3 linked regions of the Macaca mulatta genome follow. The protein of the gene in region 1 purifies or fractionates together with the protein of each later gene. This does not show direct contact. Links are inferred from orthologs where the notes say so. Each region holds a gene or a part of one and is shown on either strand. Other genes may lie near its edges.

Region 1 (2,538 bases):
TTTTTTCAGCCCTCATGATGTATTGGCTACACTTCTAAACAACCTCAAAGTTCAAGAAAGGCAGAACAGAGTTTGTACCACTGTAGCAATAGCTATTGTTGCGGAAACATGTTCACCCTTCACAGTACTCCCTGCCTTAATGAATGAATACAGAGTTCCTGAACTGAATGTTCAAAATGGAGTGTTAAAGTCACTTTCCTTCTTGTTTGAATATATTGGTGAAATGGGAAAAGACTACATTTATGCTGTAACACCGTTACTTGAAGATGCTTTAATGGATAGGTAAGTGACTTGAACTGATGACAAGAAAATAATTATAACTCTTCCTTCATTTTAGAATATCCTGAAATAGTTATTAGATGACTTTTTACTGTAATGTAGTTAAAGAAAAAAATGCTAGCCTGGAGTCTTGGGACATCGTAAATATGACTTATTATTTTAAAATAATGTGCACACTGTAGTGATTCCCCAGACTTTCTTTCAAGTTCCCCCACCCCCTTTAAATCTCTTTTCATATCTGTTGAACTAAATACATTTTGAAAAGGGTTGATTGATAATCTTTTGTTTTCAAAATTGGTCAAATATAGTTAGAGGACATGATGAGCAGGAGCTAATCAGTGTGGCAGAGACCTGATCTTTTTAGCTTTTTATTGCAGGTAAAGGATAGGTTTCTCTTAAGCCTTTGAATTACTGAACATAGCCTGCCAGAGCTACACTCTTCCTATTGCAGGTCCCTGGTGTTTCAGATAGTGACCACCAGTACAGTACTGTTCGAGTTATTTGACAGATTGCTAATACCTTTTACCATCTAGACGGATGCACAGCCTTAAACACAGAAGTAACTGAAGAAAGTGCAAAGGAAAGTGCAGGCATAGTAAGGGAAAGAACCGTTTCACTGGCTCCTTATTTTTCAGGAGAGAGAAGTTACTCAAATCAGAGCCCATTCACATACTTTTGTGTACAGATTAAAGTTATTCATTAATAACCTTCTGAAAGGGAGACTTAACTGGACTTGACAAGTTACCAGAAAGTGTATATGCAAGACATGGAAGCAAAGTAAGAATTGTGCTCTGTAAAAGCCTGGCTGCCCAGGGCTAAAAAAAATGAGGGTAAATCACCCTTGCTCCATATTCCTCAGTGAGAAGTGCGTGAGGACCATAGTGCAGTCATTAATGTATGTCACCCGCAGTTAAAAACTTTGTTCTGTGTACTGAGAAGTGGAGGGAGTAATTCCATTGAAAATTACTAAATGAAAAGAATACTTCAGTTGGAAATTTTATTAATGAGGAATACTGCTTCATTCTTATGCTTAATGACATTATTAAAATAAGAAAAACAAGAATATTAGTAAATACAAGTATTTTTCTCTTTTGATATGGTCTGTGTTACTATCTTTGGAGCAAAGTGTGGAAACTCATTTTGTTTTTTAGACGGACTTTCGCTTTGTCGCCCAGGCTGGAGTACAGTGGCACGATCTCGACTCACTGCAGCTTCTGCCTCCCAGGTTCAAGTGATTCTCCTGCCTCAGCTCCCAAGTAGCTGGGACTACAGGCATGTGCCACCGTGCCCAGCTAATTTTTTGTATTTTTGGCAGAGATAGGGTTTCACCATGTTAGCCAGGATGGTCTCTATCTCCTGACCTTGTGATCCACCGGCCTTGGCCTCGCAAAGTTCTGGGATTACAGGCATGAGCCACCGTGCCTGGCCTGGAAACTCATTTTCATACCCGTTGCAAATCCCAGTGTGTTAGCCAATGAGCTCATACTTGGTTGAATAATTGTGGAATGAATAACTGATTGATTTTTCATGAACATAAACTCAGTTAACATAGGAGATGATAGTTACTTCTGTAGGTTTGAAAAAATTGTTGATCTTCCTCTCCCCAGATTGAGTTATTGAAACTTAAACTTTACTTGAGAAGGGAATTTAATTTTAATTTAGTTACCTATTATATACCAGTATCTGAAGTACTAGTAAAGATTTAAGTTTATAATCAAGAGTTTAAAATGATTTGGGAGGCCAAGGTGGGAGGATCACTCGACCCCAGGAGCTCAAGATCAGCTTGGGCAACATAGCGAGGCCCTCCATATCTCTAACAATAAACATTTTTTAAAATAATTTTTCTTTTTTCTTTTTTTTTTTGAGACAGAGTTTCGCTCTTATTGCCTAGGCTGGAGTGCAGCAGCACGATCTTGGCTCACTGCAACCTCCGCCCCCCAGGTTCAAGTGATTCTCCTGCCTCAGCCTCCCGAGTAGCTGGGATTATAGGTGTGCGCCAGAACGCCTGACTAATTTTTGTATGTTTAGTAGAGACAGGGTTTCGCCATGTTGGCCAGGCTGGTCTAGAACTCCTGACTTCAGGTGATTCACCTGCCTCGGCCTCCCAAAGTGCTGGGATTATAGGCATGAGCCACCAATGCCCAGCCTGAAAAGTAATTTTAAAAAAGAGAAAAAAGTTTAAAATAAGATATTACCGTTTATTATTCATACATTAGAATCACATACCTCCTCTTTAATAGCATAATAAAGCCAAGACTT
Region 2 (3,753 bases), on another chromosome or scaffold:
CACCTGTGCATAAATCACAATCACCATCAATAGTATCAAGGAACACAAAAGCTAGCCACAGGCACACTGAATAAAAAGGGTAACCTGTAACCTCTGTCCAGGCTTACATTGTTATTGAAATGCCACTAAACTTAAAAAGGAAAATAATTTATGCAATTTTTACACAATTATCAAGAACCGTGGTTTAAAAAACTCACATAAAACAAGTGGCATTTATACCAACAGTAAAAGCATAGATGGCTTAACACATTTTCCATTCACAGGGCCAAAGAAATCTTTAAATAGGTAAGAACATGTCATTCGCCCAGTAATTTCTACTATTTTCGTGTGACTTTGCAAAATTTTGAAAAATCAAATAATTTCAGCAACAGTTTGATTTTAACTTCAATTTTAGCTAAATGAAAACACATAAAACAATTATGCTCCACTACCTGATAAAAGTCTGAATGATGAAAAACCAAAAAAAATTCAGGAGTTACCTAAATGTTATCAAGGAACATCTGGTTTTCTAATACAATGAATTGTATAATTATAATTATATTAATTAACATTTAATGACTACTAGCTAGTGTCATACTGTTCTACATTAACTCATTTAATCCTAACACAACTCTAAGATCACCACTATTATTCTTTTATAAATGAAGAAACTTAGCTGAAGGTCACACAGCTACTAAGAGGTGAAGCTGGTACTCAAACCAGAGGCCATATTCTTACACACCATCTATAACAGAAGTTCGATAACATGTTTTAACTATCTGTCAGCCTCAATACTCTAATTTACATAAAAGCAGATGAGAAAAAAAATAGCTCACTGAAATGGCAAATAATCAAAAACTTGTTTGCAGACTGATAATGCATTGTGTGTTGCTTGAAGAGAAACTGCATATTCCTCTAGTAATAAAGTGCTTCGTCTACTATTATTTTTAGATATTCTTTTCTGTAGCACTTTATTTTACAATTTTCCTAAGCACTTATACATAATTATGACAAATCTGAAAATCAGAAAAGTAATTATGGTTTTAAAAGTTAATCTACAAGGAAGTAATGATTTCATCTTAAAGCTACCAACTGTTAACTGCATTTACTGAAAAGCAATGAAAATTTCAAACCACCTAAATATGCAACAATATATTCCTACAACAGGATTCTATGCAGCCATGAATAAGTCCAAAAGACAGAATGGGAGGGACAAACTTGTTAACAACGTATTAGCTGGAAAAATGATCAATACAAGATGATCACATATCACACAATACATGGGGGGGGGAAATGACATAAGAATATCAATAATGTGAGTTTTTTCTTTTCTTTTTCATTTCTTCTAAATTCTCTATAATAAAACACTCATTTTCTAAAGGAAAGACTAGCTTTTAAAAGCTACAAAAACACAGCTTGTTAAACTAAGCAAACAACTACTTAAAGCATCCAGCAAGATTTGTCAGGAAAATTATATTCTCTAAGCTCGGGTCTCTTCTCATCCTAAAACACTACTAGCAATATCACAGATATTTAAAAAGCAATGTGAGTGGATCTATTTCCACTTAAAAAGCAAAACATTCTGCAAAAGTGATGATTCTAGCAATAATACATCATTGCCCTAATAATCCTGTATTACTTTGGGCACTTACAACTGGTTTTCGGCCCATTTTCAAATTCACGTACTGCTCTTGCACTCAACTTTTAAAATACAATTAAAAACATTCGAACTCGGAACATTTACGTTTCAAGATCTCTTTCCTACCTCTGTACTTTAAAGAACTGAGTATCTTACACAAAGCTAATACCGAAAGACAACCGCTGAACATGATACACTATTTTCCTGACTAAACAACCATTTCTTTAACAACCTCTTCGCCTTCAAATTTTGTGAAGCCAAGCGCAAATTATGTAAAGTCTACCAGCAACGACAAAAATAGCGTGTCAACTGGGGCAGGGGTAGCAAGAAAATAACAGACCTACACACAAAGTCCACTTTCACTTGCTGTAATTAATCACTACCATTTCAAAGTCCCCTTCCAACGTCATCTCGAGTATTTTAACAAAGTAGCAAATATTAGTTTGAGTTAGTTTTAATTGAAACATTTAACTATTAGAACGGCTGAGAGACACTACAGGACACTAGGCTCCGAATAATCTTATTAATAGATCCAGACCCCCAAGCGCTCTGAAGCTCGCAATAATAAAGAGGATTTAAGATTACTCAAGAAACGGCCGTTAGAGACCCTTTCCGGTCATAGGCACCGGCCGGCAAAATCCGCGGAGGCGGAGAGGGGGAGGGGACACGCGGCGGCGGAGGAGGAGCTGAGGAAGGAACTAGGCCTGTCCCTGGCGGACAACCGGGCCTACGAGTAGCTAAACGGCAGGGGGGAACCAAACAGGGGAGAAGGGTGAGCATCTTAACTCGGTTCTAAAACAGGGAGTCTGGGGTTACCTCGGAAAAGGCGAAGTTCCTCGAGGGGAAAGGAAGGGAGCGGCTGGGGGGGCGGTTGGGGGGGGCCCGGAAAATGGATCCCAGGCCCAGGCGGGGCCTGAGCCGAGGAACGACGGCGTCTCCGAAGAAAGATGCCAAAGAAGGCTTGGTGAGGCCCTAACGGTCCGCTGGGAGCAGAAGAATCTGGGAGGCGTTTACCTGGAAAGCTCCTGTTGAATTTCCCGGAATTTGCTGACCACGAAAGACCTAAAAATCTGCTCGATGTTGGTCGCCATGGCGTCCGCTCCGTTCTCTCAACTCCTCCTCGCTAGTCCTCCAGGCTCCCAGCATGCCTCGGGAGGAGGCGCAGCGGCCAATTCGGTCTCTCGCCTTTCTGATTGGCTCCAAAGGGAACGCCCGGTCCGGCCCGCTCCACCGAGGGACCAATCAGTGAGCACGGCCCTGCTCTCCTCCGCTGTTTCTGAGCGGCTGGGGTAGAGGTGCTGACGTTTGCGCCGCGCACGACTATGTCCGCCATGTTAGTGTCTGACGCAGGCGCCATTACAGGAGTCGTCTCTCTTGAGGCGACTGTGTCCGCCTAAGTTGTCAGTACCCAGCAGTGTTTGGAAGCCTTAGGAGGCTTGCTAAGCGCCTGAGATTAAAGGCCAGGAGGAAGAGGAGCAAGAAGGGCAACCCAGTGTTTAACATAGGGCTTCCAGGCGCTCGCAGGTGGCGCCAAGTTCAGTTTCGACAGGGATATGCATCCGGGAGAAAATCTTTCAGCCCCCGCCCCCGCTGGGATGCGAAGGAAGAACTCGCTGTAGCCCTGTGTCTCCCCCAGTGCGTCGTATAACCAGCCTTATTTTAGGCCGGATGTCCTAAGTGACCGGCATTCAAAGCCTGGTTTATTTTACTCTCATCAGGAGTCAGGCGTGTCACGAGATTTTTCCGCGGTAGCTGGTCAGCTCTGACTCGTGAGCGGTGCACAATTGGCTAAGAATGGGTTTAGCATTTTGGCGCTCCCCCTCGGAGCTCCTGGAAACACTGCGTGGCACCCCATACCACTGTCACATTATGAACGTGCTAGAGCTTGGGTGTCTTGGCTGGGGAGCAGTCAGGCCGCGCCCAGGGCGGGAGGGAATCACTAGATTCTCGCCGCGGAGACCTAGGGCCGCGCGGACCAATGGGGCAGGGAAGCCGCCGCGGGGCGGGGCGGTGAGGGGCGGTGCCGAGCTGGTCCCGCGCTGGTCCCGCGCCGGTCCCAGTGGGCCCACTTCCGGCGAGCGGGTGCGCGGGAGCCAGGTGGCAGCCTGGTGTTGGTGCGTAAAGCCCCCTCAGCT
Region 3 (3,753 bases), on another chromosome or scaffold:
GCCACTGCACTCCAGCCTGGGCAACTGAGCAAGACTCCATCTCAAAAAAAAAAAAAAAAAAAAAATCCAAACTCCTCAACATGGCATACGGCTAAGCAAAGCCCCTGCCTGCTTTTCCAGCCTCACTCCTGCAATATTCTTCTCTCACACAGCTGGAGTCGAACAACTTGGTTTCTGCCTGAAACATCCCAAGCACTTTTTGGTTTTCAGCCTCTTTGCATGCTGTCTAAAATGCCTTCTTGACTCTTCTTGGTCTCCTAACCAATACCTCACATCCCCTCCTCCCATCATTTTATGTAGGAAGCCTCCTCTGACCCTCAGGCTTGGCTAGGTGCCCCTTCTCTGCTGCAAGTCTCCTCTGTTTCTTTTTACCACAACACCTAATACGCTGTTTGGTCCCTGCTTACAAATCCATCTCCCTCACAGTCGGGGCCTGTCAGATACATCTTTGTGGCCCGCTTAATGGATGTTTTCTGTCATCTTTGATTCCTCTTTCCTTCACCACAGTGCCTCCGCCAAAAAAATCCTATCAACGATCAAAGTCCAGTTGATTCTGCCTCCAACAGTTTCCTAAATCTTTCTCTCCATTTCTACTATCTCTGTAGTCCCAACCGACATCTTTTTTTTTTTTTTTTTTTTGTGACACAGTCTCGCTCTGTCACCCAGACTGGAGTACACTGGCACTATCTCAGCTCACTGCAACCTCCGCCCCAGGTTCAAGCGATTATCCTGTCTCAGCCTCCCGAACAGCTGGGATTACAGGCATCTGCCACCACGTCCGGCTAATTTTTGTATTTTTAGTAGAGGCGGGGTTTCACCATGTTGGCCAGGCTGGTCTCGAACTCCTAACCTCAAGTTATCCGCACACCTCAGCCTCCCAAAGTCCTGGGATTACAGGCGTGAGCCACTGCGACTGGCCCCCAACATCTTTCTTGTCTTGACAACAGTCTCCTAATCAATAGCCCTGTTTTCACTGTTGCCCATTCCGCACCCAATAACCAGAATGCTTTTTCAAGAACAGATCACATTTCTTCTCTGCTTAAAACCTTCCAAGCCCGGCCAGGCGCGGTGGCTCACGCCTGTAATCGCAGCACTTTGGGACACCGAGGCCGGCGGATCGCCCGAGGTCAGAAGTTCGAGACCAGCCTGGCCAACCTGGTGAAACCCTGTCTCTACTAAAAATACAAAATTAGCCGGGCGTGGTGGTGGGTGTCTGTAATACCAGCTACTCGGGAGGCTGAGGCAGGAGAATCGCTTTAACTCGGGAGGCGGAGGTTGCAATGATCCGAAATCGCGCCATAGCATTACAGCCTGGGCAAAAAGAGCGAAACCCGTCTCAAAAAAAAAAATAAATAAAATAAAAAAAGCCTTCCAAGTCCAAACTCTTTACCATGGTCTATAAAGATCTACAAGGTGCGGCTCCTACTACCTATCCGACATCATCTCCTGCCATCTCCCAGCTCACCACTCTTCAATCACACTGACCACCTGAGACATGCCTAAGCTCATTCCCGCCCTGCAGCCTTGACTTCTGGTATTCCCTTTGGGTAGAATGGTCTTCCTTGTGAGCTTCACAAGGCTGGGTCCTTCTTGCTAATTAGGGCTCAGCTGCAATATACCATTAGAGCTCTCTAATGGCCAACCTATCTAAAAGCAGCCCATCCAGCGATTCTACCATATTTTCTGACCACTCACTGCTATCCGGAATCATCTTTTTATGATCTCTCTCCCAGCAGTAAAACACAAGTTCCACGAGAGAGGAAGTTTGTCTATCTTCGCTGTCGTATCCCCAAAGAGTGGAACAGAGCCTGGCACACAGTGGGCGTTCAGCCAACGTTTGTTGTATGGATAAAACGACGCCGTGGAGCAGACACAGTGGCGCTCCTTTCAGATCCGCACTGCACAGGTCTCAGCCCCTTCCTCCTCTAGTTCCCCACAGATTTCCGACCCTCGGCCTCCCCACTCGCCCGCCCCAAGGCCTGGTCCCGCTCCCGGCGGGCGGCAGGCTGCTTTTACCATCCGGTCGGAACTCAAACTCCAGGAACTCGTGGCCGAATTTGCCCTTGTGCCCCACGTAGTAACGCAGATAAAAGTCACTCTCCATGGCTCCCAAAAGACAACCGAGCCTGAACTTCCAACAGCAAGCCGCACTGCTGCGGTCTGCGCCCGACACTGACGTTTGCGGCGGCGCGCGGAAGTGACGTCAGATTACGCCGTCGCGTAATGGAGGGGTTCCTTCTAGCTAACCTATTCGCCCGGAAGTGACAACAAGACTGCCACACCCTCTCACGCCTAGGAGGTAACGAACTTTGTTTAACCCGGAGGCGGGGCCAACCAGCTCCGCTTCTCCACCTGGACGCGGGAGCGAGGTTGAGGTTGGTACCCGCTGGGTTCTCTCCCGGCCTGAGGCCGAGAGCCAGCCGCCTGCCTACCTCTGGGCTTTGAACGCGGGGTCTGGTGACTTCGCTTAAAGATCTCGGACCGAACACCCCGAGCCTTGCCCCCGCCAGGCTCAACCTCAGTTCACAGGACCCCCGACTTGTGTGAGTCGTACACCGCTCTTTACCGTCTCTGGACCTAGGTCATCTCGGCAGTAAAATGGGGTGAAATGACCCGACCTTCCCGGAGGATGCCGCGCACGATGTGTGTGCCTCAAGATGGCTTCCATTGACCTGAACTGTTAAGAAAGCCCTCAGTGACGCCTTCCCTGAATCCACAGTGGAGATTGCCGTTTCCCTGGAACTAGTTCACCCACACTTACCCATTTCGTCCTTTTCCACCTTTTATTTCTATCTTTCTGCCCCACTGATCTCTAGAATAGGTGCTGTGAGAAGTTAGAGTATTTGATCTCCCACTCCCCAGTCATCCCACTTACCGAGCAGTGATTCTCAGCCTGGCTGCACATTGGAATTACCTGGGGAGCCTCTAAAAATACTGATGCCAGGGCTCTACCCCAAGCCAATTAAAATCTCCAGCGCTGGAACTGGGCATTGGTACTCTTTGTAAAGCTCTCAGTTGAGGACCACTGACCAAAGAGACTCTTTTCAGAGCAAAGTTGTCCTCTGTGAAGCCATTCTGGCTCTGGAAAAAATTTACAGTTGAGTAGGGCCAGAGCAATCAAGATCATAATTATTTAATAGGAGCCTGCTCTCACTCGTCTAAGTTCCACACTTAGAGAGAATGAATGGTTCTAGAGACAGTGCTGAGATGACATCATTCTTGGGGCCTGGCAACTAGAACAGTATAAGATTCTGTAAGTCGGGACAGCAGTCTCTGATTCCTACCCCCAGTCTTTTTTTTTTTTTTTTTTTTTGAGACAGAGTTTTGCTCTTGTTGCCCAGGCTAGAGTGCAACGGCTGGTTCTCAGTTCACCGCAACCTCCACCTCCTGGGTTCAAGTGATTCTCCTGCCTTAGCCTCCCAAGTAGCTGAGATTACAGGCACGTGCCACCACATCCAGCTAATTTTTGTATTTTTAGTAGAGACAGGGTTTCACCATGTTGGCCAGGCTGGTCTCAAACTCCCGACCTCAGGCGATCCATCCGCCTCAGCCTTCCAAAGTGCTGGGATTACAGGCATGAGCCACCGTGCATGGCCCCCAGTCTTAACAATGAGTCCTTTTCTCCCTGAAAAAGCATTAGCAGCAGAGTGTAGAGTAGGTGTGGTGGGGGAAAAAAACCATTGGACACTGGTTAAAATCTTTTGTTTTAACAATGACTCATTGTAACCAAAGGTGAACTGACTCAACTTTTTA

What was found.
Region 2: the proteins of SF3B1 (region 1) and SON purify together in Homo sapiens (co-immunoprecipitation; 3 studies listed by BioGRID and IntAct, with this or other methods). This does not show direct contact. The link is inferred for Macaca mulatta from reciprocal best matches to the Homo sapiens genes SF3B1 and SON.
Region 3: the proteins of SF3B1 (region 1) and MAGOH purify together in Homo sapiens (co-immunoprecipitation; 3 studies listed by BioGRID and IntAct, with this or other methods). This does not show direct contact. The link is inferred for Macaca mulatta from reciprocal best matches to the Homo sapiens genes SF3B1 and MAGOH.

What each region holds. Positions count from the first base shown.
Region 1 is NC_133417.1:102,331,805-102,334,342, reverse strand, and holds part of SF3B1 (splicing factor 3B subunit 1), read left to right. Parts: intron 1-9; coding exon 10-282; intron 283-2,538. UniProt on the Homo sapiens protein: Component of the 17S U2 SnRNP complex of the spliceosome, a large ribonucleoprotein complex that removes introns from transcribed pre-mRNAs.
Region 2 is NC_133408.1:13,839,984-13,843,736, forward strand, and holds the start of SON (protein SON), read right to left. Parts: upstream 2,765-3,753; 5' UTR 2,710-2,764; coding exon 2,633-2,709; intron 2,391-2,632; exon of another isoform or gene 2,271-2,390; intron 1-2,270. UniProt on the Homo sapiens protein: RNA-binding protein that acts as a mRNA splicing cofactor by promoting efficient splicing of transcripts that possess weak splice sites.
Region 3 is NC_133406.1:187,368,764-187,372,516, reverse strand, and holds the start of MAGOH (protein mago nashi homolog), read right to left. Parts: upstream 2,178-3,753; 5' UTR 2,105-2,177; coding exon 2,017-2,104; intron 1-2,016. UniProt on the Homo sapiens protein: Required for pre-mRNA splicing as component of the spliceosome. Plays a redundant role with MAGOHB as core component of the exon junction complex (EJC) and in the nonsense-mediated decay (NMD) pathway.